Sus scrofa: one gene and its partners. The protein of the gene in region 1 interacts with the protein of each later gene in a pairwise test. Links are inferred from orthologs where the notes say so. Each region holds a gene or a part of one and is shown in the gene's direction. Other genes may lie near its edges.

The links.
Region 2: the proteins of NGLY1 (region 1) and RAD23A interact in binary tests that used the Homo sapiens proteins (3 or more experiments, as listed by UniProt). The two-hybrid records come from large-scale screens. The link is inferred for Sus scrofa from reciprocal best matches to the Homo sapiens genes NGLY1 and RAD23A.
Region 3: the proteins of NGLY1 (region 1) and GUCD1 interact in binary tests that used the Homo sapiens proteins (3 or more experiments, as listed by UniProt). The two-hybrid records come from large-scale screens. The link is inferred for Sus scrofa from reciprocal best matches to the Homo sapiens genes NGLY1 and GUCD1.
Region 4: the proteins of NGLY1 (region 1) and UBQLN1 interact in binary tests that used the Homo sapiens proteins (3 or more experiments, as listed by UniProt). The two-hybrid records come from large-scale screens. The link is inferred for Sus scrofa from reciprocal best matches to the Homo sapiens genes NGLY1 and UBQLN1.
Region 5: the proteins of NGLY1 (region 1) and UBXN2B interact in binary tests that used the Homo sapiens proteins (3 or more experiments, as listed by UniProt). The two-hybrid records come from large-scale screens. The link is inferred for Sus scrofa from reciprocal best matches to the Homo sapiens genes NGLY1 and UBXN2B.
Region 6: the proteins of NGLY1 (region 1) and RAD23B interact in binary tests that used the Homo sapiens proteins (3 or more experiments, as listed by UniProt). The two-hybrid records come from large-scale screens. The link is inferred for Sus scrofa from reciprocal best matches to the Homo sapiens genes NGLY1 and RAD23B.
Region 7: the proteins of NGLY1 (region 1) and TRAFD1 interact in binary tests that used the Homo sapiens proteins (3 or more experiments, as listed by UniProt). The two-hybrid records come from large-scale screens. The link is inferred for Sus scrofa from reciprocal best matches to the Homo sapiens genes NGLY1 and TRAFD1.

Annotation. Positions count from the first base shown.
Region 1 is NC_010455.5:12,667,694-12,671,691, reverse strand, and holds part of NGLY1 (peptide-N(4)-(N-acetyl-beta-glucosaminyl)asparagine amidase), read left to right. Parts: intron 1-1,128; coding exon 1,129-1,243; intron 1,244-3,998. UniProt on the Homo sapiens protein: Specifically deglycosylates the denatured form of N-linked glycoproteins in the cytoplasm and assists their proteasome-mediated degradation. Cleaves the beta-aspartyl-glucosamine (GlcNAc) of the glycan and the amide side chain of Asn, converting Asn to Asp.
Region 2 is NC_010444.4:66,093,469-66,097,906, reverse strand, and holds the start of RAD23A (UV excision repair protein RAD23 homolog A), read left to right. Parts: upstream 1-1,429; 5' UTR 1,430-1,664; coding exon 1,665-1,736; intron 1,737-3,025; coding exon 3,026-3,187; intron 3,188-3,352; coding exon 3,353-3,534; intron 3,535-3,673; coding exon 3,674-3,729; intron 3,730-3,862; coding exon 3,863-3,990; intron 3,991-4,252; coding exon 4,253-4,331; intron 4,332-4,438. UniProt on the Homo sapiens protein: Multiubiquitin chain receptor involved in modulation of proteasomal degradation. Binds to 'Lys-48'-linked polyubiquitin chains in a length-dependent manner and with a lower affinity to 'Lys-63'-linked polyubiquitin chains.
Region 3 is NC_010456.5:49,582,143-49,586,621, reverse strand, and holds the start of GUCD1 (protein GUCD1), read left to right. Parts: upstream 1-1,621; 5' UTR 1,622-1,734; coding exon 1,735-1,777; intron 1,778-1,814; exon of another isoform or gene 1,815-4,479.
Region 4 is NC_010452.4:31,306,629-31,310,626, forward strand, and holds part of UBQLN1 (ubiquilin-1), read left to right. Parts: intron 1-2,139; coding exon 2,140-2,282; intron 2,283-3,998. UniProt on the Homo sapiens protein: Plays an important role in the regulation of different protein degradation mechanisms and pathways including ubiquitin-proteasome system (UPS), autophagy and endoplasmic reticulum-associated protein degradation (ERAD) pathway.
Region 5 is NC_010446.5:74,434,644-74,439,325, reverse strand, and holds the start of UBXN2B (UBX domain-containing protein 2B), read left to right. Parts: upstream 1-1,675; 5' UTR 1,676-1,727; coding exon 1,728-1,811; intron 1,812-4,682. UniProt on the Homo sapiens protein: Adapter protein required for Golgi and endoplasmic reticulum biogenesis. Involved in Golgi and endoplasmic reticulum maintenance during interphase and in their reassembly at the end of mitosis.
Region 6 is NC_010443.5:248,485,823-248,489,820, forward strand, and holds part of RAD23B (UV excision repair protein RAD23 homolog B), read left to right. Parts: intron 1-262; coding exon 263-433; intron 434-3,998. UniProt on the Homo sapiens protein: Multiubiquitin chain receptor involved in modulation of proteasomal degradation. Binds to polyubiquitin chains.
Region 7 is NC_010456.5:39,576,724-39,581,472, reverse strand, and holds the start of TRAFD1 (TRAF-type zinc finger domain-containing protein 1), read left to right. Parts: upstream 1-1,691; 5' UTR 1,692-1,837; intron 1,838-3,739; 5' UTR 3,740-3,751; coding exon 3,752-3,798; intron 3,799-4,749. UniProt on the Homo sapiens protein: Negative feedback regulator that controls excessive innate immune responses. Regulates both Toll-like receptor 4 (TLR4) and DDX58/RIG1-like helicases (RLH) pathways.

The DNA of each region.
Region 1 (3,998 bases):
TAAATTTAGGACAAGGATGGTTAGTCCCTTGCTAGCATTTGCCCATGCATCATTCCATGCCTCAGCACTCCTTCTCTAGACCCACAACACAGCCTCAGAATCCTCAGTGTGGTATTAATGGAAGCCACTACTACTTTCTGAATTTTTTTTTTACAGCCTTTCTAATTTGTCAATGCTATTAAAAATCTGAAGTCAAAGATTTTTCAAGTACTGATTAAAATTTTTCAAAATCATAATCATTGTAAAAGAAATTTTTGTCTTCATTATATTGCCATGCTGGCAGTGACAAAATATATATTTTGAGCTAAAACAGAACTTATAGTAAAATCAGTCATTGGTCTAGGGAAGAAAGAACAATCAAGTAACTATAAAGGTACACTTCGCTTCATGTTGGTCAGAAATAAAGTCTTTGAGGAACTTTGATTCACTTTTATATAGCTTCTTCATTTCTTTTATTCATTCATTTCACGAGTATTTATTTATTTATTTTTTAGGACCACACCTGCGGCATATGGAGGTTCCCAGGCTATGGGTCCAATCAGAGCTGTAGCTGCAGGCCTTCACCATAGCCACAGCAATGCCAGATCCAAGCTTCATCTGCGACCTACCCTACAGCTCACGGCAACACCGGATCCTTAACCTACTGAGCAAGGCCAGGGAGCAAACCTGCATCCTCATGGATACTAGCCAGATTCATTCCCACTGAGCCATGACAGGAACTCCTCATGAGTATTTATTAATTACCATCCATAGACACATCAGGTCCTGTTTTTAATGATTGAGATTCATCAGAACAAAATAGACAAAACCTGCCCCTGTCTGGAACTTGAATGGATTTTTTTCTTAGCAGCCCAAAAACTTGTAAAAGTCCCTAGCTTTAACAGCAGAGAAATAGAAAGTCTCATGAATTTCCCTATGACAACATTGATAAGATCAGCCGTGATGTGGTGTGTACTGAGGTAGGAACCACAAAGTTAAGCCGTCTGTGCTGCTGCTTTCTCTAATTTTGGGATTGCTACTACTTTGCAGGAGTGTAGCCAGTATAAAATGGGAAAAGAAATGTAAAAACATGGTGAAAATATAAATTGTTATATATAATCAAAGTTTTTTTTTTTTTTTTTAAATCAGAAACCCTAATGATGAAAAATATAGATCTATCCGGATTGGAAACACAACTTTTTCTACTAGACTTTTGCCTGTCAGAGGAGCTGTTGAATGTTTATTTGAAATGGGCTTTGAAGAGGTATGTTCAAGGGTTTTTTCCTCCCCAGTTCATGTACAAAGCATTCATTATAGTGTTGACAGATAATTTCTAAATAAGGTAATATTTTTTAATGGATTCATTTTGGCAAACTGTGGAACTATTTGCCCGCTTACTGGATAGTTTAAAAGTTACATTAAATATACTTTAACTCACAGCAAAATATGACAGCCCTTCCTCAGGGAGAATTCTTACAATCTTAGCCCTTTAGAATACGGAGATCAGATATTTAAACCAAGGACTAAATTGTGATTCTCTTTAGACTTTTAGCAAAAACCTAGTTTGTGATCACATACGAATTACTAATGTGGTCCAACCCGTCGCCAGTAAGAAATGGAAAGAGAAATGAGAAACAGAAAAGTCGAATTTAGTTACCACACATAAGGGTTCTATTGTGTAAAAGGTGAGAAGAACCTTAGTGTTGTTTTGTTTGGTTTTTAGGTCAAAAGAAAATCTGGTGTTTCTGTCTTATGGGATCTTGTGGTATAGTTTCATTTTGTGACACAGTGATAGTAGTTGTCAAGGTAATGAGTTTTCTCTATGTGTATTTGCTTGGCCATTTCTAGTTCACAGAATATCGTAAAGCCCTAGAGACTCAGCCGTCAGTAACCGTAAGAACCAGTGAGGCCATAGCAGTTGTTAATGAGAGAGGCCAGGTTGCTCTGGGGTATGCATTCCTTCTGCTTCTCTGCATTGCTTCCCAGACGTGCTGATGAGTTAGACGTGGAGTATAAGGGCAAGGCAAGAATCTAGGATGACTTCTAGGTTTTGGTGTGAAGAACCAAGTGGATCTCCACTCATTGAGACTGAAAAATCTTGGAGAGTAGCATGTATCAGGGGAGAAAGAAAGCTTCCCTGTCTTTTGGATAATTATAACTGATATATTGTTAAGTATTCAGGAAGAATTGTCAAGTAAAGAGTTGGATATATGAGTCTGTAATTCAAAAGGAGAGGTCAGGGTGGAGGTAAGTTAGGGTATCCTCTACTTGTAGTTACTCAGATGTCTGAATATAAAGAATTTAAAACTATAGATGGGGAAAATTGAGACCATTGTTCATTCAAGGAAATGAAAATTTTTGAGAGTCAAATGACAGGAAAATTAAATAAATGACAACTGGAGACTATGCTTATTTCTCATTGCTGAAGTGGAATCAGATTTGTCTTTCATTCAGCAAATACTTAAGTTGCCAGGAAGGGTAACCACCCACTGTAGTTTTCCTGGGACAGTCCTGGTTTTAGCCGTGAAATTCCCACACTGCAGAAAACCCCTCAGTCCCATGCAGACTTGTAGGTTGGTCACACCAGAGGTAACAAGCCACATTGGGACTTGTAGTGGCATTTGGTGCAAACAGAGTCACAATTTTAGAAAAGATTTTCGTGTTTTGAGACTAATTTATACTTAGTTTCTGACTGGCCTTGGATTTCACACTTAAGGACCTGTATGAAGTGTTAGCCAACAGAGCTGAAACTGAACTCTCCCACCAGAAGGAAACTTGCTGGGCTTTGAGATGAAGGAAGATTCCAAGACCTATCCTGAATTTGTGTACACTTGACATTAAAATCCTGGATGCTTTTGGGCCCACTCATCCCTGAGGATGCATTCTTTTTTTACGAAAAATCTGAGGAGGAGAATTAGACTGAGATTCAGGTGGGTATGTGACCCATCAGGCTAGTTTAGTGGAGTGGTTCACCCTGGGAGCAGTACCCAACCCAGTGAGGATGGGGCATCTGAGGGAGGAAGTTTTGGTTGTCTTGGTGACCAGAAGATATTACCAGCATTTAGTTGAAAGGGGCCAGGTTGACTTGGAGCTGGTGATTAGAATTGTCGAAGCAAGAATGAGTTGAGAAACATAGATTTGTTAAATGCTAGAATCCTCATTGATTTCCTAAAATGTTATTGGGTCTCGTGTGTTAAGCCTTCAAGTTTTTCCTTTTATGAAAATACAGTGCTGTTGATTAAGCTTTTGGGTGCAGATATTTTGGCTGTAATCATGCATCCTGAAAATTGGAAGAACAGAGAGCAAGGCAGGGGCAGCATAGCCTCTCCAGGGCATGGACCAGGTCAGATCCACATGCCTGTCTCGCTCTTCTTTCTTCTCTGTCCACGATGTCAGCTACCTCCCTCTGCATTCCACCCAGAGAGAGATGAGAGGCATCTGTGTTTGGTTTCAAACCAGGAGTCTGGTTTCTCTTCCCAGGCCTCATCATAGATTGAGGTGGCTCCTTCTAATGCTGGAACATTCACCATGTTCCAATTTCTCCTAGTTATCGCATATGTAATCATCACAAAGGTAGAAATATTTTTTTTTTTGATCAACTCTTCCAACTGTTTGTACAGCTTGTGGATTTTGATCTCTCTTCAGACTCAAATGGAGTCAGTTATAGCTTAATGAGTAAGGTCATGCAGTTTGAATCGTTGCTGTGACAGTCATTCTGAAGCATCAGGCAGGTTATTTGACTTCTCTGAGCCTTTGTATTTTTACATGAAAAGTGGGGATAAACCTAATAGCTATCTTTCAGGACAGTTGTGAGAATATATATATATATATATAGAGAGAGAGAGTAATATATATATATATTATATATATATAATAACACAGTACCTAGAACCCATAAACACAATAAATGGTCGGGTAGTCTTTTTTTATAGCTATTTTGGGTAATATATAAGATTGCTGGCCTCACCCAGCTTTTTAAAAAAGATTCACAATAAATTGATTTTCAGGTCATTCTTGAA
Region 2 (4,438 bases), on another chromosome or scaffold:
TTTAAACATTTGCCTTTTTTTTTTTTTAACTTTTTAAGGGCTGCACGTGCAGCATGTGAAAGTTCTCAGGTTAGGGGTCTAATTGGAGCTACAGCTGTGGGCCTACATCACAGCCACAGCAATGCCAGATCCAAGCTCTATCTGACCTATGCTGCGGCTCACAGCAACGCTGATCCTTAGCACACTGAGTGAAGCCAGGTTTTGAACCTGCATCCTCATGGTTACCAGTTGGGTCTTTAACCCCCTAAGCCACAACGGGAATTCTTATAAACACTTTTTTTTTTTTTTTTTTAATGCTGATTCCACCGGGACAGGGATCGAATCCGTGCTACAACAGTGACCCAAGCCACTGCAGTGACAGTGCCGGATCCTTAGCTCAATTTGCTGCCAGGGCACTCCTCAACACGTTGTTCTTAATACCAGCCCGTGTTAAAAGCTATAAATACCTTTCATTAGTCAAAATATCTTCAGAAGGTGGTATCTAGCTTACCCATGATGTTCAGTAGCCAAGTTGGGATCTGAACTTCTTGAAGGGAAGAGGTGGCCTATTCTTGTGTGGAAGCTTCTTAGTTCAGGGTGTGTGGTAAAGGGACAAGCAGCAGGACCTGGTTAGATTTGGGGAAATGAGTGAGGTGGCAGGGGACTGCACTGTGTCCTACTGGGATGGGAATGGTGAAAAGATCAGGTTCTGAAGCAGGATATGAAGGAGGTGGGGAGTCCATCACCTCCAACCAGTCTGCCATAGCACGTTTTTCACCTTTGGCCAACCAGCGCTTCATTTCCTTGTTACTTGGACAGGCCTCTTTTGTGCTTCATTCCTGTGTCCTGCAGCCCAGCCCCACCCTTCTGGGAAACATCCCAATTAGCATATCCAGGGAAAGGAGAGAATTTTGTATTCAGTGTAGGAAAGCCTTGGAAGTTACATACTCTACATACTGCGGATCATGTTGGAGATAGTGGTTAGGGAAGGAGCAGCAGAGAGGGGGGAGACCCAGGAACTAGAACTGTATAAATTAATTCCAAAAATCCGGCTCTTCCTAAAGAATAAATGAGGGCATAAAATGGCTCTGTGTGCCTGTTTACACAGCCAAACGTGTTTGGCATTTTCATTTAATTGTTGGTGACCTTTTCAGTATCCTTTCTAGGTCCCTTCAGGGTTAGACAGGAGTACTGTCAGGGTGGCCAGACTAGAATGAAACTAATTTGGAAAGAGCAAAAAATATGAACTAAGATTTTACGGTAGAGATACAAGTATCAAAGCAGATTTTTGTTCAACGTCAACAAAAAAGGAAACTGATGGGCGTGATAATTGGACGTCGGCGCCATTTTGTGGCCTCATGACGTCACCGCTAACGGGGATGGCGTCACTCCCATGAAGCCACGTGATGGTTAAGCGAGAAAACCTCCCTCTACGCCGACTGAGTAGAAGTTGGTCTGCGTACGCCTGACTCAGGGCCGCTCTCGTGCGCATGCTCACGAAGGCCCATGGCGGCGGCGGGGGGGGGGGGCCCACAGCGCGCAGGTCACGTGTCCTGGTCGTCGGCGCGCGCACCGTTTGCCCCGGAAGCGGTCGGCGCGCGGCGCGGCTAGGCGCTAAGATGGCGGCGGCGTGAGTTGCATGTTGTGTGAGGATCCCGGGGCCGCCGCGTCGCTCGGGTCCTACCATGGCCGTCACCATCACGCTCAAAACGCTGCAACAGCAGACCTTCAAGATCCGCATGGAGCCTGATGAGACGGTGCGAACCAAGCCTGAGCCTGGGAACGGGAGCGACGGGTGCCAGGGGTTCGGGGGGAGGCTGGGATCCCGACGAGAGACGCGGGGAAGACGACGCGGGGCCGGGCCCTGCCCATTCTCCCAAACTGCCCTACTTTTCCAGATTACCCGATGGTCCCCAACCCAGGCCCTGGTGGCTCGGGTGGAGCTCTAGTGTCGATCTCCAGGCAAAGCCCCACCCCCGGGGCGCCTGCCAGGCCCCGGCTCCAATGTCAGCGCCCTCGTGGGGCGCGGGAGCCGCAGGCTCAGATTTTCTGTCGTGCTGCTGTCTCTGGGACTGGGCCTCCTAGTTCCCAGCTTTGTAGGCGTTTCCTCTGGACGTTGGTGGCCGAATCTACGAATAGTGGCCAAGAGATGCCGGGTGATGACAGCAACGACGATGATAAAGATAATAAATGGTCTGAGTTTCAATGGTCCGTGTTTGTTCTTCACCAGTCACTGAGCGTTTTCGTATTATCTTACTAAATCTTCAAAGTAGGCTTGTCATTTGGGGACTTAGTCTTCTTGTTTTACAGATGTGGAAATTTAGGAGTTAAGGAACGTAGACATAGTCGCATACAGCAAATAACAGTAGGGGTTTGCCTCAAGTGAGCCTATGGACGAAACCTTATGCTGTCTTTTTAGCTGAGAAGAGACTTCGAATCTAATATGCGTATTTGGCATTATTCGCACAACTTATCTCATGAAGAAGATGTTTAAGTTCACTTTTTATAGAGAGAGAAATAGATTTTCTCATCAGCCTGTTTGCCTTTGGGCAAGTTAGTTAACAACCTATCTGTGCCTTTTTTTCTTGGACATAAAATGAGGCTAATGGTAATTTTTTTACCCAGTTACAATGAGGATTTAAACTTGTGACACATGTATGTTTACAATAGTACTGTAAACTTAGGATTCTACCACTGAAAACCACTGTCAGCAGCATGGAGTGAGGAACCCTCCTATCGCCCCTTTTTTCTGTTTTTCATTACATTGTGTTTACATTTTCTGACTTCCATCTCCCAAATAAGCGTCATTTCTACAAAAACAGAGTTTGTTGAGTTTTGTTCTCTGTTGTGTCCTCAGTGCCTAAAACTGCACCTGGCACATAGAAGTGTGCAGTAAATACTCCATTGAATGATGGGATAGCCTAGAATGCTTGATTATGAAGCTTAGCTTCTCAGTCATCAGGGCTTGTTTTCTCCCCTCTCCTCCTATACTATAAGGGAAGAGAGAATCTTGGGGTTTGCCATGACTGTGTACCCCTTTCTCCAGGTGAAGGTGCTAAAAGAGAAGATAGAAGCTGAGAAGGGTCGTGATGCCTTCCCCGTGGCTGGACAGAAACTCATCTATGCTGGCAAGATCCTGAGTGACGATGTCCCCATCAGGGACTATCGAATTGATGAGAAGAACTTTGTGGTCGTCATGGTGACCAAGGTAGGTGAGGTAGCTGGTTGGGAGGGTGGGTGGATTAGCTTGGGAGCTGGCCAAGAGCCTGTGTGCCTAAGAGAGATTAACCATGAACAGGGTGGGGCTGAGCTGTGGTGGGATGTGGCGCTAGATAGGGATACTGATGCCTGCTCCCTTTTCTGGGTTTCACAGGCCAAAACTAGCCCAGGCACCTCAGTACCCCCAGAGGCCTCACCCACTGCTGCCCCGGAGTCTTCCACATCCTTCCCATTGGCCCCTGCCTCAGGCATGTCCCACCCCCCATCTCCTGCCAGAGAGGACAAGAGCCCATCGGAGGAATCGGTCCCCACGACATCTCCGGAGTCCGTGTCAGGGTAAGGCAGGGAGCAGCAGCCTCAGCTTGGGCCCTGGCCTCCCAGCACATTTCAGCGCCTACGTCCGTGGTTCCACACACCTGCGGGGAGGGCAAGCCGCCAGAAGCCAGGGTCCGATTTCTCTCTCTTGAATTTGCAGCTCTGTTCCCTCTTCAGGTAGCAGCGGGCGAGAGGAAGACGCGGCCTCCACGCTAGGTGGGTGGGTGGTCCCCAGAGCAGAGATGACTGGGTGCCCCAGCCATCAGCTGGGCCTTGTGTGGGTGTGGGAGGGCCCGGGAGCTGCCCTTCCCACTCCTTGGTGACCCAGCCCTTGCTCCTCCTTCCACAGTGACTGGCTCTGAGTATGAGACAATGCTGACAGAGATCACGTCCATGGGCTATGAGCGGGAGCGGGTCGTGGCTGCCCTGAGAGCCAGCTACAACAACCCCCACCGAGCCGTGGAGTATCTGCTCACGGTGAGGTGGGGCTCTAGCCTCCTGGGGAGTCCTCAAGGGAGCATGTGGGTGTCAGTGACCTGATGGGTGATCAAAACCTGCCCTCCAAAGCCCATGGTTTATGGTTCCAGCTAGGAAAGGTTTCCTCCAGGAACCTGGACAGGAGTGGTGGGGTGGGCCTGCAGAGGGCAGAGTGGAGGCCTCATGTGTCTCCTGCCAGGGCTGAGCATGCAAGAGGAAGGCAGTGGGCAGTCTGCATTGAACTAAATAGGATCCCTGACAGGGAATTCCTGGGAGCCCCGAGCCAGAACATGGTTCTGTCCAGGAGAGCCAAGTATCGGAGCAGCCGCCTACGGAAGCAGGTGAGTAGAGTGTGAAGTGTGCGTGTGGAGTGTCTGCACTTGAGGCGTCTGACTCACTCCATCCCCCCGACTTCAGCCCTGGGTGGTGTCTGACCAGACCCCTTTTT
Region 3 (4,479 bases), on another chromosome or scaffold:
AATTCAACCCAGTAAGTGCTCTTTGACTCTCCATTTACTTCACCATCAAAGTTAAAGAGAAAATATCAAAGTATTCACAAAGTGATAATGTGCTACACACAGGAAATGCTTATCTTGGAGAAAAAAGGGAATCAAGGCAAGCCTGACTTGACCTTAAAAGAGGAAAGCTGTCGGTTTTTAAATTCCAAAATGGTCAGCTGAAAGGTGGAATACATCTCCTGCATAAAGAGAAAAAGGAAGAGCAGTGAAAGAGACAGGCGCCCTTCGTGAGAAGCCTCAGAAGTGTAGATTTTATGCTGAACGCAATGGGAGAACCACGGCAGGACTATAGGGAAGGAATTATCCCTGGGAAAGGCAGCAGCACTTACAAAATGGTTCGAACACAGCTTAGATGCAGGGAAACTTGAAAGAAGCTTGTGTAACGGTGTAGAAAGCATGAGGGGGCGGATGGAGGCAGGGAAGCAAAGGACTTGGGAAGGAAGCAACTAGCCAGAAACGACCTCAAGACCATTGCCTGGATGCTTCGAAAAACACTGGCCTGGGGAGGTATGGAAACTGAAGGAAAAGCTAACGACCTCACTTCCAAGCGCTAGTGAGGCGACACTGTCTGGTGGCCCGGCTTCCCGCTCCTGTCCCTCGGCGAGCCCCGCGGAGCTCCTCGGCAGCGCGTCCTTCTCCAACCCTCTACTCCTCCGAGTGCCTCGGCCTCCCCACGCCCGCCCCCAGCCTCCCCTCACCGCCTGAGGTCTCCTCCTCCTTCCCGGTGCGGCCGCGACTCTGCCGACTGCGAAGCGTGAGACAAGCGAATGGCGGGTCCCGCGCTCCCAGAATACCACGCGTTCCCAAAATGCCTCGCGCAGGGCCCGCCCTCTTCCTTTTCCCAGTGGTGAGCGCGGTCTCGTCCTCGCTTCCACCTCACCCCACCGGCTGGGAAACTCGGTCTGTGGTTCAAGAGTTCCGGCCCCGGAAGACTGATGACTGGACCCAGGTGCCGCCGGAAACACCGACCCTCGGGCCGGCAAGGGCAGAGAGGGACTCGCTTTTCCAAACACCTCACACCGGCGACGGGCTGGACGGCGAGGCGGGGATCGGGGGAGGCAGCGGTGGGGCCGAGGGCCAGGACCTCCCCTCACAATTTAACCTTCGGAACCCGGCAGTGCCAGGTAAAGGGACCCCTGAGCGGAGAGGGAGACAGGAGCAGAGCGGGTGCCGGCCCTCGGCCGTCCCTCCAAAGAGAGTCGAGGTGGGGCTGGGTCTCCCGGCCCCGAGGCTGGCGGAGGAGTAGGACCTGGCAGAGGCGGAGCTTGCCGGGGGCTCTGGGGAGCCCGCGTTCGTGGAACTCCCGGGCCTGGGCGGGGCTTCCGGGGAGCGGGGCGGGAAGGGCTGCGCGTCCGCGCCAGGCCTCGGAGGTCGGGGCGGCAACCCTGGGAGCTGACACTTTGAGCGGCCGGGACCAGCGGAGACAGGAGCCTGGGAGCCTGAGGGCTTGAGGGCCAGAGGAGGCGGGGGCGGGCCGGGGCGGGGCCCAGGGCGGACGGGGCGGGCCAAGGCCTGGAAGGGCCGGGGCGGGGCTTGGGGCGGCCCAGCTGCCGCCTCCCCTTCTCCCCACCGTGCTGGCAGTGGCGGTGGCGGCCCAGGAACCCGGGGACTAGCGGCCCCGCTCCCGCCCCAGACGAGGCCGAAGCTGCAGCCGGCGCCGGGCCGGGGCCATGGGAGCCCCGCGCCGCCCACGTCATGAGGACGGAGGGGGAGGCATCGGGGCCGCCGCTCGAGCCCGGTCAGTGCTCCCTGAGGGCTTAGCCCTCATCCAGGGGAACAGGGGGGCCCACCCTAGCAGCGGTCAGGGTCCGGCCGCGTGACCTTGGACCGACGGCCGCCATGTCCTAGGCTGTAGAGCTTTGAGTGAAGTCTGGCCAGGTGTACACCCCGCCTTGGCTCCCGCAGCGCCAACCGCGGTCTGCTGGGGTTTCCTGATACTCCCAGGGCTGGAACCCCAGGCAGCTCTGATGGCGGTCTTGGTGGGAGGGTCCTGGTTGAGAGGCTGGGGCGGCAGCTTCCCCAGAAGCGAAAAGTCCTGCTGAAGCTGCCGTGAGAGATCCTGTCCCCTCGGGGAACTGAGGCCTAGAAGGGCAGGGAACTGGCAGGGAGCATAGAGCAATGGGGGAGGCCCCCCCCCCCGGCCTCCCAGACTCAGTGTTTTGTCTTGCTAGAGTTCTTCACTCTAGTTCCTTATGTCCCAGGTGGCCTGTGTTCCCTTGCAGGCAGAAACCAAAACTCAGGTTGTGTGTGAACCTCGGTTTGCTTTGCTAAATTGGGGAGGGAGAGAGCAGTAATTCCTGCTCTGGTTAAGGCACAGGGTTGGTGAGAAAGGAAGTGCTGGTAAACTCTAAAGTGAGGTCCCAGCTCCTGGGAGAAGTCAAGAGCATGTGGGAGCCTGACCCTAAGGAATCAGCAGGATACTGACTGTGACTGCAGCAAGGAGTAGGGTCTGGAGTTACCCGGGGATTGGCCTCCCTAATCCTCTAATTATCTAATTCTGTGATCTTGGACCAGACACTTGCATGTTCTGAGCCTCACTCAGGGAAGTAATGACTCATATTTACAGTGAGCTTTCTATGGGCAGATACTCTGCTAAATTGTTCACATTCAGACTCTCATTAATCCTCATAACGACTTCCTGAAGTCAGTTACCATTGTTATTTGCACTTTGGGAAATGAGCAGACTGAGGTTGAGAGTGATTAAGTATTCAGGGCCTGTGAGCCACCTTCCTTCCTTGGCAACAGCTGCCAACTGAAGCCAGGCCAGCACCTTCCAGGCAGACCCTAGCTCTCAGCCTCTTGGCTCCACAGGCATCAATGTCTAGCAGCAGCTTTGAACTTGGAAGGCCTCCTCTACCCTTATCACCTCCCATAGGAGTACCTCTGAGTCCCTGTGGGCCATCTGGCCTGTGCCAAGACTGGGGATGGTCATGTAGGGATGTTTAGCTCTCAGGAGGTGGAGGGGAGGCAGGATCAAATGGTTCTAGAGATCAGGGTAAGAAGAGGAGGGGCAGAGTCCCCAAGAGCAGGGGTCCTGTGCTACACTGACAGTTGGCCATAGAGGATGCACAGACAGTGTCAAAGCTTGGCCAGAGATAGCCTAGCCAGGCAGTGCCAGAGCCCCAGCCACAGAGTGAGGAGGGAGCTGTGAACGGAGGGCCACAGGCCAGAAGTCAGGGGAAAGGCGAACATAGCGGTGACAAGTAGCCCAGGGCATCTCAGAGGATAAGGCCTTTTGGGGGAAAAAATGCCTTCCATGCACCATTCAAGCAGGTCTGTGTGCCTCCGGTGGTCTGAGGGCTAGGAGGAGGCAAATGCAATCCTCTGCCTGCCTGCCACCGAGGACTTCTCAGTTTGTGCAGTGGGGAAGGCAGACAGCACCTCGAATCCCACATGCTGAGGGCCTCAGAGAGGGAAAGACACCAGAGCATTTGGAGGTTCAGAGATGGTTCAAGACACCCTTGCAGATAAGGGATATGCAAATACAAGGGCTGGGGAGTAAACAGCTGTGTAGAGAAAAATAACAGGCAGTTGTAGCTACAGCCAGGGATTCTTGAAGAGGAAGGCATCCACAGTAAGGGGACAGTGCCCTGCTGAGACCTCTCCCTGCACTCCGTCAGTAGGGGGATTACTTTAGGACATGAACACCTACGGGGTAGGGCTTGGGTCTCAGCACTTGTAGCGTCCCCAGAGCCTGACACACAGTGGGTGCTTAATAAGCTCACTTCTTCCAGCAAATGTCTAGCAAGTTACTGCTAAGCATCAGACACTAGGCACTGGGAATAACAGAGAACAAGATTAGCAAGTTCTGGAATTCCTGTTGTGGCTCAGTGGTAAAGAGCCCAACTAGTATTCATGAGGATGCGGGTTCCAACCCTGACCTCGCTCAGTGGGTTAAGCTGTGAGCTGTGGTGTAGGTCGCAGATGTGGCTTGGATCCCACATTGCTGTGTCTGTGGCTTAGGCCAGCAGTTACAGCTCCAATTGGACCCATAGCCTGGGAACCTCCATATGCCACAGGTGCAGCCCTTAAAAAAAAAAAAAAAAAAGATTAGCAAGTTCTCTACCATTAGGAAGCTGACAGTCTAGTGGGCTGACAGAGTAGCTTTATTTCATTTTCATGTTTTTGTTGCTTTTGCTCAGTCCTGTGAAAGAAACAAGGAAGTACTGTGAAGGAGGCCCCATCTCCCCAAGGTGTAGTCAGAAAAGTCTCTCAGGAGGAGACTTGAGCTGGGTCCAGAATGACAAAAATGGGGCAGTACTGAGGGGAAAGAGAGCTGCATGGATAAAGGTCCTGGGGTGAGGGCCAAGGTGTGGCAGGGGGGTGGCCAGGCCCCGTAGGCCTTAGTAAGAAGTGCGAACTTTAAGAGCAATGGGAGACTGTGGACAGAAACAGGAAAATGGCTAGGGGACAGAAACTGAGGCAGAAGTCAGGCAGGAC
Region 4 (3,998 bases), on another chromosome or scaffold:
TGAAAATAATTTTACCTGTAGTTATTCTATGCAGACCGTTTATAGACACTGATTTTTCAGTTACTTCAAACTTGATGTTGACCTCTCAAATAAGAACTGAGCAGAACCAGTAAAATTTGTCAATTTATCAAGAAGCAAGAAATACTACCCAAAATAATTTGCATTGTTTTTTAGTTGATTATTGATGTTGAGTCCAATGTCCTTAACTCTTGAGAAACTTCTTGTCAGGAGAATAGTCTTAAACAGGTTTATTTTCTCTGGACACATTTATTTGGCTGCTGTAGTCATGATGTAAATAACCATCCTAGTTAATCGCCATTGGTACATTGCTTTCTTTGCTTGGCTAACAAGCCATTTGAGAGCCTAACTTTGCAGCCTTTTTTTTTTAAGGCCACACCCGCAGCATATCCTATGTTAGGGGTCAGATCAGAGCTGCAGGTACTGGCCTACGCCACAGCCACAGCAACTCGAGATTTGAGCCACCTCTGTGACCTTCATGGCAACACCGGATTCTTGACCCACTGAGTGAGGCCAGGGATTGATCGATCCCATGTTCTCATGGATACTGGTCGTGTTCGTTTCTGCTGAGCCATAGTGGGAACTCCTTCATTTTTTATTTTTGTAAAGAAATTTAGCTATGATGAGATATTGTATTTTAAATTTTGTATTTTTCCGATTTGCTTTCCTGTTAGTAGGGAGTACTGTGATGAGTGCTCTGTCTAGCAGTGTTGAAGTATATCATATTCCTTTAGTGTCATTGCATAGTAAATATGGTGTTTTGCCATTTCAATGATAAAATAATCCATACTCTGTTGTGCCTTAAAAGCACAGCAGAGTCCAGTTCTCCCTCGTTTGTGGTACTCTGAATAGCAGTATAGAGCATTATGGTAGTGCCACATGGAACCTCTGTTGAAACTACTCAACTCTGATTTGGTAGTGCAGAATTAGCCATCAATAACAATAAATGAGGGTGCACGACTGTGTTGCAATAAAATGTTGTTTATGGACATTGACTTTTGAATTTCTTATAGTTTTAACATTTCACCAAAAATGTTTTTCTTTAACCATTTAAAAATGTAAAAACCATGTTTAGCTCTTTGGCTGTGCAAAAACAGGTCATAGGCTATATTTGCCCTACAGGCTATCTTCATCACTATCTGTCTAAGTGTATCCTTAGACTCTAGGATGTAGAAGAAACCTAAATTGAAATAATATGAGAAAATAGGAAAAACAAAAATTGTTATAGAAAAACAGCAGAATCATAATAAATTAGAAAGTAGGGAGAGTCAAATCTTTTAAATCTGTTAAATTAGATAGAATAAGAACAAAAGGGAAATGAAAAAGCTAAGAAGTGAAAAGTTCACATAATGAGTTTGAGCATATATTTGAGTTTGATTGTATCTAGTCAGCAAGTGAAAACCTTGTATGTTGAACAAATTTAATTTTCAAAGACTTGTTGAGTTCACATAAATTTAGCTGTAGCTCTCAACAAAAAGAGAGAGTGACAGTTAACAGCCATCTACACATTAATTTAATTGTCATAACCACTCTTTCAACTAAATACTGCTTATTACATCATTTTACAGATGGGGAAACTGAAGTATGAAGAAGCCCCCTTAATTTGGGGTTGAATTCATTGAGTGTCAGGACTCAGTGAAAACGAAAATAGATTGGAGGCCTGGACAAGAAGGCTTCCTTCTTTCTTAAGTGAGCGTATTGACTCCTGAATATGATTCTAATTAAGTCATCCTGGGGGAAAAGTTGGCTCAGACGTCTTCAATTTTTGAGATTTTTCAGTATTTTAATGAGTATTTTTAGTATTTTTACCATATCTAGTTTTTGCCTTAAATTGACTTTTGAACCTAGCCTTTCCATAAAACAGGATTTTCCTGTATATTCAACCAGAATGTATCAAATCCATAAACCTTCCTTTATTGATATATGTTAGTAGGCATGTTGTTTTGGAGATCTTAGCCATAAAATTTTTTCTTAGTTCAATTGATAAGTAATTGGTATGTGTATTTATCTGCAGTTGCTAAAATTATGTACAGTAGATATGTATTTTAAAACTTTCACTTTTGTTTATATGTCTTTTTCTTGATAAAAATGTTCTTTTTTTTTTTTAAACCAAACTTTCAGCTAGTATGTTCAACACACCAGGAATGCAGAGCTTGTTGCAACAAATAACTGAAAACCCACAACTTATGCAAAACATGTTGTCCGCCCCCTATATGAGAAGCATGATGCAGTCACTTAGCCAGAACCCTGACCTTGCTGCACAGGTGAGTGTGTAATTGTATTGAAAAGGACTAATCAGTGTGGATTGAAACAGCTTAATCAGTTATTTGTGATTTGGACACGTTTGTTTTGTGCATGCTGCCTTACACTGGAAAAGTAGGCAAACCACATCTCCAAATTTTTGGACAGTTTGTTTCCTTACAGTAAATTAATACTTCATAATGTAATGGAAACAGCTTCATTTCCACTGTTCACTGGCTAGAAAGAAGTGCAGGTTTACTTTGTATCCACATGTGTTGATTAAGGAGATGAATACAAAAGTTTTGAATGCTCTCTCTTTTAAAGCCTTTTCTTCAGTGTAATGAAAATCTTGAAAGTGATTGAGAAGTGTTAATACATTTGAAATACTTACATTGGTTAAGTCACAGAGATTTTGAATAATAGTCGTGTTCAAAATGACAGTTATAAAATGGCCTGAAATTGTTTAATATAAGCAGGGAGAGATTGTGGGAAAAGTATTCTTATTCTTTCTGTTACAGATCTCCCCCTGGTCTTTTATTAAATCATTTTCTAACTTGTTTCTGAAGAGAATAAGAAAATCAGTGGATCTCAATCCTAGCTGAACATTTAGGATGACTTTGGAAACTTTAAAATTAAAAGAAAAAATCTTGACCCTGTCCTGAGATCTTTTCATGTAACTGTATTGGAGTATAGGACTCCCCTACCCCCCACCCCACCCCCCAAGTTCCCTAGGTGATTATCATGTACCCCTAGGTTGAGAACCATTGGCGTTGAAAAATCTTGGCAAATGTAAACTAGGCCTTCATCATCTGTGATTTATATTTGCTGTTTATTAAAAAACAGTCTGTGGAGTGTTAGGAATTTGAAATAGTTTCCTTTATAGTCTCCATTTCTGAAATTTTAAAAGCTTTTAAAGTTAATCACTTTCTTCATTATGTCAAAGGAAATGGTTTTTATGTTTCTAAAGTCTGAAACCATATCAATTCAAGTATATAGAGATATCTTTGAGTTAACAATCCTCAGCAGCAGCTTTCTGTCCTCTTAAAATTTGTGGAGTTGGAAGTTTTTATTTTTTTATGTTTTTTTCCTTATACAGGTCCACCTGTGGTATATGGAAGTTGCCTATGCCACAGCTTGCAGCAATGCTGTATCCTTAACCCACTGAGCCACAACAGGAACTCTGAAATATAGAAGTTTTTAGATAAAGTTTTGTATATGCTTTAAATTTTGCCTATCGTAGGTACATTTAATGAAATATTTTATTCATAAGAAAACTATTAAACTGAGTTATTATTAGTATTAAATGCTTCAACTTTTGTTTAAAATACCCATGGGAAATATGTATGCAGACCAATCCTATTTGTATGTTTTTAAATGTATGTTTGATTAATACTAAATATTAAATGTGTATCTTTTTTTTTTTTTTTTTTTTTGTCTTTTTTGAGATTTCTTGGGCCGCTCCCACGGCATATGGAGGTTCCCAGGCTAGGGGTCGAATCGGAGTTGTAGCCACCGGCCTACGCCAGAGCCACAGCAGCGCGGGATCCGAGCCGCGTCTGCAACCTACACCACAGCTCACAGCAACGCCGGATCGTTAACCCACTGAGCAAGGGCAGGGATCGAACCCGCAACCTCATGGTTCCTAGTCGGATTCGTTAACCACTGAGCCACGACGGGAACTCCCTAAATGTGTATCTTGCTTTAAAATTTTTTTGACTTTAACAAGCACACTTCCAGCC
Region 5 (4,682 bases), on another chromosome or scaffold:
TAGCACAGATCTGAGCTGTGCTGCCTTTGATTCAATGTCTGAAAATAATCATTTCAGATATCTCATCTAGCTTTTTTCATTGCTGGGATTGGAAGGGCAAGTCCAGTACCAGGTACACTATCATGGTCAGAAGCATAGTCCACCTGGGGAGCAGCTTAAAAAATATGATTCTTGGAGTTCCCGTCGTGGCTCAGTGGTTAACGAATCCGACTAGGAACCATGAGGTTTTGGGTTCCATCCCTGGCCTCGCTCAGTGGGTTAAGGATCTGGCGTTGCTGTGAGCTGTGGTGTAGGTCACAGACACAGCTTGGATCCCTCGTTGCTGCGGCTGTGCATAAGCCGGCAGCTACAGCTCCGATTACAGCCCTAGCCTGGTATCCTCCATATGCCATGGAAGCAGCCCTAGAAAATGCAAAAAGACAAAAAAAAAAAAAAAAAAAAAAAAAAAAAAAGACGCTTGAGGGGTCACCCCATATTAATTAAATCTGAGTTCCTAAGATGGGGAGAGGGTGGAGGAAGGGGTTTTCTAGTGTGCATCAGCCTTGACAATCACTGCCCCAGGGCGTAGTCCTCATCCTTCACTAAAGCAAGACCCTTTAGCACCACTCCTAGGCCTGCATCTTGAGTCTAGATCTGCACCCACATTCCCCAATCCCCAAGCCTCTTTTGTCACTTCTCCTAAGGTTCGCCATGCAGGACTTTATCAGCACGAACATGGTATTTCAAACATGCTTCTCCCTGTGGTCCCTTCTGGTCCAAAGTCTACCACGAATACTTATCCTTCAGAGTCAGCCAAAATACCATTGGCTCCGTGGGACGTAAAGAAGAGCCAGAGATTTCTAGGCAGAATGTTGTACTAAAAAGAATATTGGGACAACCAACAAATGCAAGGTTTAGTATCTGGTACCGTCACTTACAACAGAGTAAACTGTTATTTGAAACTTGGTTTCCTCAGGTATAATACGGTTACCTGGCAGAGGGATAGAGGAGATTACACATAAAATGCACCCAGCATGGGGCTCATAGCAGAATACTCCCCTCCCCACTCCACAGTCCACTCATAACATTCCCTGCAAAGCGCTACTGCAAATGGCATTTTATTATGTTTATATTTCTCTTTCCCCCACTAGACTGTGAGTTTTATAAATATCGGAACTACTTCTTTTTACCTTTGCATCCGGGAGCATAAAAGTGCCTGGGATAAGACAGGAGTTTGAATGAAACTGAGATGAATAAAGAGAATTTAGTAGTCTCCTGACCTCAAAGAGCGTTTACTGTGTTCTTCCTCCTCAACCCCAATTCACGCTTCGGGGGCGACCGTGCCACCCAGTCTTTGGTAGGGAAAGGAGAGAATGTGACCAAGACTGGAAAAGTAAGGATGCGCCTTTCATCAGATGAAACATCCAGAGGACGTTTTCACCGTGGGTTTAAAAGAACCCGCCAGTCCGTGCTGCCCTCCAGGGCGGCTCCGAGCACCCTCAGGCGTGGGACCTGGGGAACCTGGGTTTACGAAGAGGTTACTCCGCGAGAAAATTCTGAGGCCACTTCCTTTTGGGAAAGAAGCGGGTCAGGACAGGTGGGCGGGCGCCGGAAGCGGGGGCGCGCGGGCCTTGGGGGAGGCGGGGGCGCGCAGGGACCGCCCCGCCCGCCCCGCCCCGCGGTTGCCAGGCAACGACCCCGGAAGTCGCGGGAGGCGCGTCGGCGGCGGCGTCGGGAGCCGGTGAAAGATGGCGGAGGGCGGTGGCGGCGAGGCGGGCGAGGAAGAGCCGAGGACGCCGGGGCCGCGGCCCCCGAGCGCGCGGGACTTGCAGGTGCGGCGAGCGGCAGGGGTGAGGGCGCGGCGGCGGGGACGGCGCGGCCGGGGGCGTGTCGGGGCCGCTGTGGCCGAGGCGGAGCCTTCCCCAGACCCGCCCGGGGACAGAGTTGGGACTCGGGAGCCGTGGGTCTCCCCGGGCGGCGCGCGGGACCGCGGTGCTGGTAGAAACAGGTGTCTGAGCGCTGCTTCCTCGGGTGCCCCTGCCTCGCTTCCCCCACCCCACTTGCAGTTTAAGAAGCAGCTGTTGCTTTAGAATGGCATTTCACGGGGTCGGTTGAGTACTTCACAGGTTGGTGCTTCGGGCAGGAGACTCTGGAAGAAAGCTCTCTCTCCTGTGGCCATAGGGGAATCAGCATCACTTCAAAAGTCACAGCCTCTGCGGGCCTGATCTTGCTTATCCTGGAGGCTGTTTCTGGCTTGATCACTTAAATGTAAAGAGGGTTCCTTTTTATCAGATAGCTTTTTCTTGTAGAGGGGTAACCTAAAAAGTATTTCACCCTATGACTGCACAGCTTGGTTGTAAAAGCTACAGTACAGAAAAGACTGCACAGAAGAAACGGGAAGATAAAACTTGCTAATATTGAAGGACGTTGACATTAGCCAGATATGAGCGCACCAAATCTTACTACTCATTTTAGGGGTTTTTTTGGTTTGTTTTCGTTTTTACTGTCTCTTTGTAAGATCATTGATAAAATTCAACAACCAAACATCTGTAAGGAACTATCGTTAAAAATAGATGGCACTAAATCCAAGCCTTGGTAGAAAAGTTCTGTTACTTTATGGTCACATTTTCATTGTGTATCTGTAAATGAACGGATACTGAATACCTGTCCTATAACATACTGCTAAGCTCTGGGAACGCAGAGATAAATAGGACATCAAATCTACCGCGGAGGCTGTGACACTGATGAAGAGTATAGAAGTATAAAAGGCATTTCACTATTATTTGCAGAAATAATATAGGAATATTTTTAGCATAACGTTTTCAGATGGAGTATGGCTGAGTGCCAAGATAAGCTGTGCATAAAATGTTGAATTTGGAGAATGGAGTGATCAGTTGTCAGGAGACAAAGTCAAGGTAGCATAGTTCTAGTGTTCGTAAGTCTGTTCAGTAGTAAACAACCAAGGAGTAGGAAGGTCTTATCTGCCTCATCTCTTCTGTTGTACACCACTAAGAGACATATGCTGTTGGGGAGAAAAATGAATTTCTGGTCAGAACAGCTTGGGTTTGCATTTGGCCCTGCCACTTAGTGTGAATCTCGGGAAAGTGTTTTAACCTCTCTGATCCTCCGTGTCTTTATTTTCTAAACAAGAGGTGGTGTTGATGGTGTCAAGGATGAAATAGAGAAATGTCTATAAGTGCCTCTTCGGTCCCATGTTATCCTGGCTCAGTTACTTGCATAGTAAATATTTGGTTCTTTTTCCTTAAAAGGAGAGAAATGCTATCACTTGCCCTGGTTAGTCCAATCTAATGCCATTAAAGTTAAAACTATAACTTAATATCACGTCCTGAAAACCTGTTTCTTCTTTTTATGTGGAAAGTGAGAACAGCTTGGTTAATGATTGTCTGATACTTGACACTTAGACTTAATCCACTAGATTAAGGTATGATTAATTGTTGGAGATAATATGATAGATGTCCCTAACTGTGATCAAGCCTTACTTTCTACCATCACTTAGAAAATAGGATTTCTTTTCATCTCCTATCTACCTTCTGGTAGGTAGGTTTAGGTAGCTAACTGATATTGTTATGAATGTGATTTGGTATATAAAATATGCTAAGTATTGATAATGTTTCCTTTAGAATTTAACAAAAATGTGAAGAACTTGCAAAGACACCTGAAAACAACCAAGGTGATGACGTATAAAGAAATAGACTAGTATCAAAGGTTTAAAAGAATTGGATAGTGTTCTTCTCTCCAACTGGTTTCTTGAATATTGATTATGTGGGGATTATCGTGTTATTGTTTAATCTAGCCATGTTTATTTTGCCACGCCTCCTAGGATTTGTGGGCATCTAAATCTGGAGCGATTTCTGATAGCCTAGAAAGCCTTCCAGCCCTGTGAGCATCCAACTCAAAAGTGCACCTTAGTGTGGCAGCTAAGGTGTACACACTTAGGGGTACTTTTACTTGTTCCTGTTACAATCACCCTTTTCCTCAATGATACCGGGAAAGCCTCTTACAGCGAGTTGACTAGAAAGTAAAAGTACCTATTGAAAACTGAGTAACTCTTAAAATAAGCATGGCTTGATTAAACAATAGCAAGATAATCCCCATATAATCAATATCCAAAAAACCAGTTGGGGAGAAGAACACTGTCCAATTCTTTTAAACTTTTGATACTAGTCTGTTTCTTTACACGCCCTCACTTTGGTTGTTTTTAGGTATCTTTAAACCTTCGGTGCTAGCGTGTTTCTTTACACGTTATCACTTTGGTTGTTTTCAGGTGTCTTTGCAAGTGCTCTCTCTCTCAAATCAACAAGTAGATCTTGGGCCCCTTCGACCTCCAAAATTGGGAACATGCAGAGGGGAAGTTGGGGACAGGGTTGTCAGTGACAGTACTCACCCCGGGAACCTCAGGCTCATTAGTATTTTTGAGCATTTTCAGATCCCCTTGTCTCCTCTGGTGCCCCTCAGCCCTCCATACATGGCCTTAACAGTTGCTTAAAGTATTTAAGTATATGCTTCTGCCCCAGATTTCCTCCAGAATAATATGAAAGGAAAAGATTTCTGTTTGTATATTTTTATTTCTGGGTAGGTTGGAGTTGGGGAGCATTGGGGCAACCTCATACTTCTTAGGATTAGGAGCGGGCTGGGGGTGGGGGCAGAGAGGAGTCTGGGAGTGAGAAAGGAGTAGACTGTCT
Region 6 (3,998 bases), on another chromosome or scaffold:
TTTTTTAACAATGATGGAGGGTGGGGAGTTGATGAAAGAGAATTTGATTTCTTTTCATTCTTGTTTACTTCACTCAGAACTTTCTTTAATAATGTACAAGGAGTCATATCTTTTTAATGACTGAATAATCCAGAATCATTCTTAAGTAGTACGGTTGCAAAGTTACAGCTTTCTCTCATGTTTGTATTAGAATTCTTACTTTCCTGAAGATACTTCATTTATATCAATATATTGTTTCTCTTTGTCCTTGAAATCACTACAGCAAATTAGCCAACACCAGGAACATTTTATTCAGATGTTAAATGAACCAGTTCAAGAAGCTGGTAGTCAAGGAGGAGGGGGTGGAGGTGGCAGCGGAGGAATTGCAGAAGCTGGAAGTGGTCACATGAACTACATTCAAGTAACGCCTCAGGAAAAAGAAGCTATAGAAAGGGTGAGTTTAAGTAAAACTTAAAAATTCAGCTCCTTAGTCCCACTAGCCGCATTTCAAATGCTTAAGAGTCGCATGGTGCTAGTAGTTCCTGCATTGGGGTAGCCCAGGTAGAGGGCATTTCCATCATGGGAGATGGCTCTTATGGGCAGAGCCACATGGAGCCCTGCCTGGGGACTGTAGTAGAGACAGTCTCTTCTCAGCTCTGCTCTCCATTATGTTCTTTGTGAAGCCAAGGGACTAGCAGGGAATATCAGTCTAGCATGAACCTAGTTATAAACATACTAAGAAACTAAAAATTTCATTGATGTTTTAATACCCAAGAAGAAAAAATTGATCTTAAAGTATATGCCTAATTCAAGATTTTCCATTTTTTAATTTATATTTCAAATTTTATCTTACTGTTGTCTCTGAAATGTAAAATAGATATGTAAATGAATTGTATAAAATGTGTATACAGTAAACATCAGAACCTGGTATCATGATTCTCTTTTCATCCTTAGCAGATCAACCTGTACAGGTTGTGGCACCGCAGTAACCTAGTTTTTATGATACTGTTAACTAGTCTTCGTTTTCTCTGGGCCCAATTGTTAACATTTGTAAATAGGGAACTGTAGTGCTTGCCCTGTCTTATCTTACAAAGTACTTTGAGATGGAAATCAGGAAAAGTGCATTCTAATAATTAGAAAAGTCACCTGTACTATAATTTGTCTTTGTTTATGACATAAACATATCAAGTATTCAAGGTTTATAACTGTTTCTTAAAAGATACTTATATATTGTGCTGGGGCTTTTTTTTTTTTCCCCTCAAATAATAGAAGTGACAGTTAACATTTGCCTCAGTTGTCTATATCAACCTTTTTGTGAGGTTGGATGATCAGTTCTTGATTTCTCTGTTGGAGAGGGTTTTTTTTGTTCTTGCTTTTGCTTTTAGTCATAGAAGAGAACATTGCCTAACCTAAGGTCAAAAGTTTTAATCCTGTGTTTTCCCCCAAAGAATTTTATAGCTCTTACTACATTTAGGTCTGTGATCCATTTTGAGTTAACTTTTTGTTTATGGTGTAAGGTGTAGGAATCTAACTTGCATGTCTTTTCCTGTGTATATCCTGTTGTCCCGGCACCATTTATTGAAATTACTGCTCATACCCCATTAAATGATCTTGTCATCCTAATTGAATAATATGTTGACCATAAATGTGAAGGTTTATTTTTGGGCTTTTTCATTGATCTCTATGTTTATCCTTACGTGATTCCTTTATTTTCTTGATTAGTTTGGCTTTAGTAAGTTTTCAAATCAGGACGTGTGAGTGCTCCATATTCGCTCTTTCTCAAGATTGTTTTGGCTGTCTAGGCCCCTTGCATTTTTTTGTATCAGTTTTAGGCTTAGCTTGTCCAATTTCTACAAAAAGAAAACCGATTGAAATTTGATAGATACTGTGTGAATTTTTCTGTAGATCAATTTGGGGAGCATTACCATGTTGGCAGTTTCTTTCAGACATTTCTTATTTTTCTTTTTTTTTGTCTTTTTAGGGCCATACCCACGGCATATGGAGGTTCCCAGGCTAGGGGTCTAATCGGAGCTATAGCTGCCAACCTACACCTCAGCCACAGCAATGCAAGATGTGGGCCACGTCTGCGGCCTATACCACAGCTCACGGCAGCACTGGATCCTTAACCCACTGAGCAAGGCCAGGGATTGAACCCGCATCCTCATGGATGCTAGTTGGGTTTGTTAACTGCTGAGCTATGACAGGAACTCCCCAGAAATTTCTTTACTCTTTGATTTGTACTTCTTCCTCCCCCAACCCCCCTTTTGGCCATCCACAGCACATATAGTTCCCTGGCCAAGGGTCAGATCTGAACCATGGTTGTGACCTATGCTGCAACTGCAGCAGTGCAAGATCCTTAACCCACTGTATCAGGCCAGGGATCGAACCTGTGTCCTGACACTGTAGAGTCACTATCAATCCCATTGTGCCATAGCAGGAACTCCAATTCGTACTTCTTTTGCTAAATTTATTTCTAAGTATTTTTATTCTTATAACACTGTTAAAGTTGGAATTGTTTATTTTTGCATTGCTCATTGCTAGTTGTATATAGAAATACAATTTAATTTTGTGTCTTGCAACATTCCTGAACATATTTATTAATTCTGATAATTTTTATGTATATTCTTAGGATTTTTATGTTTAAGGTATCATTTGTAGGTAGACATAGTTTTAATTCTTTTTTAATTTGGATGCCCTTTATTGTATATTTATTTGCCTAATTGTCTTATCTAGATCCTCCTGTGTATTGTTGAATAGAAGTGGTGAGAGCCAACGTCCTCATCTTGTTCCAGATCTTAGGGGAAAATAAAACAGTCTTTCACCTTTAGTATAATGTTACCTGTGGGTATCATTAGTTAGATTCCTTTTATCAGGTTGAGGAAGTTCCTTCTATTCCTAGCATGTTGGATGTTTTTATCACAAAAGGGTGTGGGATTTTGTCAAATTCTGTGTTTATTGAAATGATCATGTGGTTCTGTCCTTTTTTCTGTTAATATGCTTTATTATATTGATAAATTTTTGTATGTTGGACCAACATTGCTTTCCTAGGATGAATCCTTCTGATCATATTGTATAATAATTTTTATATGTTGCAAGAATTGGTCTGTTGAGGATTTCTGCATCTATATTCATAATACTGGTTTGTGATTTTCTTGTGATACCTTAGAGTAATAACTGGCCTTAGAGAATGAGTTCCTCCCTCACCTATTTTTTGGAAAAGTTTATGAAGAATTGGTATTTAATTTTTCTTTAAATAGTTGGTAGAATTCACCGGTGAAGTTATCTGGCCTTGGCTTTTCTTTTGGGGATGTTTTGTGATTACCAATTCAGTTTCTTTTTATAAGGCTATTCAGATTTACTGTTTTTTTCTTAAGTCATTTGGAGTGGGTTTTGTCTTTCTAGGAATTTGTTTCATGTACATTATCTAACTTACTGACATACCATTGTTCTCAGTATTCCCTTGTAAAAATTTTTATCTCATAAAAATTAGTGGTGGTCCCACATTTATTTTTACTTTTATTTTTGCTTTTTAGGGCCGCACCCGCGGCATGTGAAAGTTCCCAAGCTGGGGTCAAATTGGATCTGCAGCTGCGGTCCTACATCACAACCACAGCAATGCTAGATCCGAGCCACATCTGTGACCTCCACCATGGCTCATGGCAACGCCAGATCCTTAACCCACTAAGCGAGGCCAGGGATTGAACCTGCATCCTCATGGATACTAGTCGGATTCATTACTACTGAGCCACAGTGGGAACTCCCCCACATTTATATTTTGTTTTAGTCATTTGAACCTTCAGATTTTTTTCCCCGTCAGTTTAGGTAAAGGTTTGTCATGTTTCTTTTTTGGGTGTTTTTTATGGCCACACCTGAAACATATGGAAGTTCCCCAACCAGGAATCAAATCTGAGCCATAGCTTCAGTAATGCTGAATCCTTAACCCACTGCACCACAGTGGGAACTCCTGTAATGTTGTTGATTTAAAGAAAAAAAACCAAAGGAATTACTGCTGTGGCTCT
Region 7 (4,749 bases), on another chromosome or scaffold:
TTGGAATCACAGAGAATGTACTGCCTATTTAAAATAAATGTTCTTTCCTGTTACAAATAAATAATGCTTCGTGATCTGCTTCTCCTGCTTAGCGCTAGGTCATTAATATCTTACAGTTATAATCTGCAAAAAATAAAATAATGACTTTAAATTGCTGGGTTTTTGAATGTAAAATATCTCAATTTTTATACTGAATATATATTGAAATGACAATGCTTCAGATACATTAGGTTAAATAAAACAGTCTTAAAATTTAGGAGTTCCCATCGTGGCGCAGTGGTTAACGAATCCGACTAGGAACCATGAGGTTGCGGGTTCGGTCCCTGCCCTTGCTCAGTGGGTTAACGATCCGGCGTTGCCATGAGCTGTGGTGTAGGTTGCAGACGCGGCTTGGATCCCGCGTTGCTGTGGCTCTGGCGTAGGCCGGTGGCTACAGCTCCGATTCGACCCCTAGCCTGGGAACCTCCATATGGCGCGGGAGTGGCCCAAGAAATAGCTAAAAAGACAAAAAAAACAAAAACAAAAAAAAAAACAGTCTTAAAATTTAAAAAAATTGCTGGGTTTGTTTTTGCTTTTGGGGGGCGTATGTGGAAGTTCCCAGGCTAGGGGGTCGAATTGGAGTTGCAGCTGCTGGCCTATCCCACAACTGCCACAGCCACAGCAAGGCGGGCTAGGAGTTTTGTCTGTGACCTATGCCAATGCTGGCTGCAACGCAAGATCCTTAACCCACTGATCAAAGCCAGGGATGGAACCTTCCTCCTCGTGGATACTAGTTCCATTCTTTACTGCTGAGCCACAAGGGAAACACCCAAGTTGCCGTATTGTTAAAAAGAAAAAACGAAATTGCTGTATTGTAAATAATACTTTCTCCATTATATTTATTCTATTTTTTTTTTTTTTTTTAATTCATGAGGGAAGAGTTCAGAGGATCCATACAGACAGCAAGTAGAAAGATTGTAACTCAAACATGCATCTCAGGGAGTTCCCTTCGTGGCTCATTGGCTAGTGAACCCAACTAGGATCCATGAAGATGCGGGTTCCATCCGTGGCCTCGCTCAGTAGGTTAAGGATCCGGCATTGCCCTGGGCTCTGTTGTAGGTCGCAGAGGCGGCTGAGATCTGGCGTGGCTGTGGCGTGGGACTGCGGCTGCAGCTCTGATTAGACCCCTAGCCTGGGAACCTCCACATGCCAAGGATGCGGCCCTAAAAAGCAAAAACAACAAAAAAAACTAAACCGAACCAAAACAAAAAAAACCCAAAACAAACCAACCAACCCATGCATCTCGGCCGCTCACTCTACCACCGCAAGAAGCAAAGGTCTCAAACATGGGCAGAGCCTCGCAGAGATATCTTGCATGAGCAGTGAGGAGGACATTATAACTGCAACAAGTATGACTAATAATTATTAACAGCTCATGACAAGAGGACAAATGCCATTACTTATCGTAATATATTAGGCATATTAGTAATGTCTATATAGTATTATTCATGCAAATACCAACCGCCTGTGTCATGCGTACTTGCTGAGCCCAGAGGTAGTTCCCAGCTTAAGTCTCTGCCTCCTTCCAGAGGCGCATGGGTTGGGACTTCCAGGGACACGCCTCTGTGGGGCTGAGGAGCCAATCGACGCGCAGAAGGCGGGGCTCTGGGAGCGACAACACTACTATCCAATGGCAGACAACCAGAGTCGCCCCTGGCCAATGGGCGCACTCCTCCGCGACGGTCGGAAGTGGTGAGGCGGCTCCGGGGGCCGTTGTTCAGCTTGGGGGCTGACTGAGAAGGGAGGCTTCAGTGTCCCTGGCAGGCGGTTCGTGTTGGCGTCTTTCGTCTCGTCCCAGGTGAGGGTAGCTGCGGCCCGCGAGTTCCTATAGGTCTCCAGTTCGGGAGAAGGGCGGTGTGTGGGCTAGGGGCTTCTGGGCCGGGGGTCAGCAGGGGTTTCTCGTAAGGAGAAAGGTGCCCGCGAAGCGGCGTCTCGCCTGGCTAGTGAGGGAGGCCGTACTTTCTCCTCAGGGATCCGGAGCCTCAGCAGCCCCCGGCGTCACCGCCCCTTCCCGGCCGTGGCCCCGGGGCTGGGAGGTGACGGTTTTCTGGAGCCCCGCCATGGGCACCTCGCCCCGGGCAGATCTGGGCCCCGAGCTGCCAGCGTGAGGGGTCGCGGGTAGCCTGGTGGGGGCTCTAGGCCGACAGACTCGGGTTCGAGTCCCCACTCTTACCAACTGTGCGGCAGCTGTCTCCCTGGACTTCCTCTTTCGCGGTCTCAGCAGTGGGATGGTGACTTTCACCTTTTAGGGTTGTGGTCTGGATGAGAAGATTATCCACGTAAAGCATTTAATCATCAGTAAACACACTATGAATGGCAGCTAATATTTGCGAAGCCGGTGCCTTCCCCACTCTTTTCGGACCTCCTCCACCCTGCTGGGGGGAGGGGGCAGTTGGAAACCGCCACCTCCAGGGTGTGGACCCTGTGTGGTGTCTCCACCCCTTTGGGCACAGGGAAATCCTGGCCGACCACTTAGAGGGGCTCCTTCTAATTTTGAAGGGAACTTAGTTTGCCATAGGGCTTCCATGCATTCGTTCACCTCTTATAGGGCGTGTTTTGAAGAAGTGTTAGTTTGGAAATGTTAAAACGCCCAGTTAGGGAGTTCCCGTCTTGGCTCGGTGGTTAAGAATCCGACTAGGAACCATGAGGTTACGGGTTTGATCCCTGGCCTCGCTCAGTGGGTTAAGGATCCTGCGTTGCCGTGAGGTGTAAGGTGGGTCGCAGACGCGGCTCGGATCCCGCGTTGCCATGGCTGTGGTGTAGGTCGGCGGCTACATCTCTGATTGGACCCCTAGCTTGGGAACCTCCATATGCCGCGGGTGCGGCCTAGAAAAGACAAAAAAAAAAAAAAAAAAAAAAAAAAAAAAAAAAAAAAACCCCAGAAAAAAAGCCCTGTTAGAGGACAGTATTTTTAGAAGATAATTTTTTTGCGCCATAGAAAAGGATGATATAAAGTAAGTACTGGTAATAAAGTTGCCAGGGCTTTGCTTTCAACATTGACATCTTGTTTAAAAGAAGGAAAAACTACAGTGGAGAAACCTGGTAGAAACTTATTTCAATGAAGTGATCAAAGTCAGCATCATCTGTAATAATAAGACTGTTGACATCACCTGCTTTCTGATTGAATGCAATGAGATGAGCACAACATCACTTCTATGGTATTTTTGACAAAAATGTATTAATCATGAGAAAACATCATATGAACCTAATTTGAAGATAGTCTACAAAATAACTAGCCAGTACATACAACAAGGTTATGAAAGAGAAAGACTGAAGAAATATCCCAGATTAAAGAAGATTAAGGAGAAATAGCAACCAGTGCAATATGTGACTCTGGATTGCTGAACCAGCAAAAGGGTACTATTGGTGGCCTGATTTGTGAAATTAAATAATTGTAGATTAATTACTAGTATTAGTGAGTTTTTTGCACTTGGTAATTTTACTGTGACTATTTATGATGTACTGGATGAGAGGTATATGGGAGTTCTTTATGCTGGTTTGCAAGTCAGATTATTTCAAAATGAGAATTAAAAAATAATAAAAAGCTAAAACCAAAGTGTGTTATGTATTAAATAAAATGTACTGGTTTTGGTGATTTTTTTTTTTGCACTTTTTCTTTTGTGTGTGTGTGTGTTTTGCATGTCATGCTTAAAGCAGAAATGAAATTGAAAGAACACACTTCTTCCTTTGTTGTTTTCAGGAACAGCTAAAGATGGCTGAATTTCTAGATGACCAGGATACTCGACTGTGTGACAATTGGTGAGAAATCTGAGAAATGTTATTGGAATGAGGATAAACTGGCTTCTATAAAGAGTTGGCTTATTTATTGGCAGGTTAAAATTGGAGCCATATAGTATGTTGTGCAAATATATGAGACTAAAGCTTTTTGAACAATTTTGAATAAAATTGCCTGTTTGAGAAATTTGATAAGATAGTTGGTTGAGGTAGCATAGAGTAGTGACCAGAGCGATGGCATGAAGCTGGGAATCAAGGCTCTGGTTCCTATCTTATTTAGTTAATGACTTGGCAAGTCCCTTGACTGCTTTGGAGCCTTATTTTTCTGACCTATATGTAAAGGAATTTCTTTTCCGCTTTTATGAAAAATAACCATTCCTGCTGTGTAGTGCTGGAAACTATATGTAGTCACTTATGATGGAGCATGATAATGTGAGAAAAAAGAATCTATACATGTATGTGTCACTGGGTCACCATGCTGTGCAGTAGAAAATTGAGAGAACACTGTAAACCAGCTATAATGATAAAAACAAAAACTATTATAGAAAATAACCATATATTTTTAAAAGATGCTAAAAACATAGTGAAATGTTTGGATTAGAGCAGTGTTTTGCAAAGTGTGTTGCAAGAATTTCCTTGAATGGCTACAGTGGTTGCCTTGAGATGGTTGGGAGCAAGGTTTAGTGAGTTGTGGCACAATGTCTAGTAGTGAGAACATTCAACCAGAGCAGCTGTCTCAGATTATTTTATTTATTTATTTTTTTTCTTTTTGCCTTTTCTAGGGCTGCTCCCGTGGCAGATGGAGGTTCCCAGGCTAGGGGTCTAATCAGAACTGTAGCTGCTGGCCTACGCCAGAGCCACAGCAATGCAGGATCCGAGCCACGTCTCTGACCTACACTACAGGTTACGGCAATGCCAGATCCTTAACCCACTGAGCAAGGCCAGGGATCGAACCCGCAACCTCATGGTTCCTAG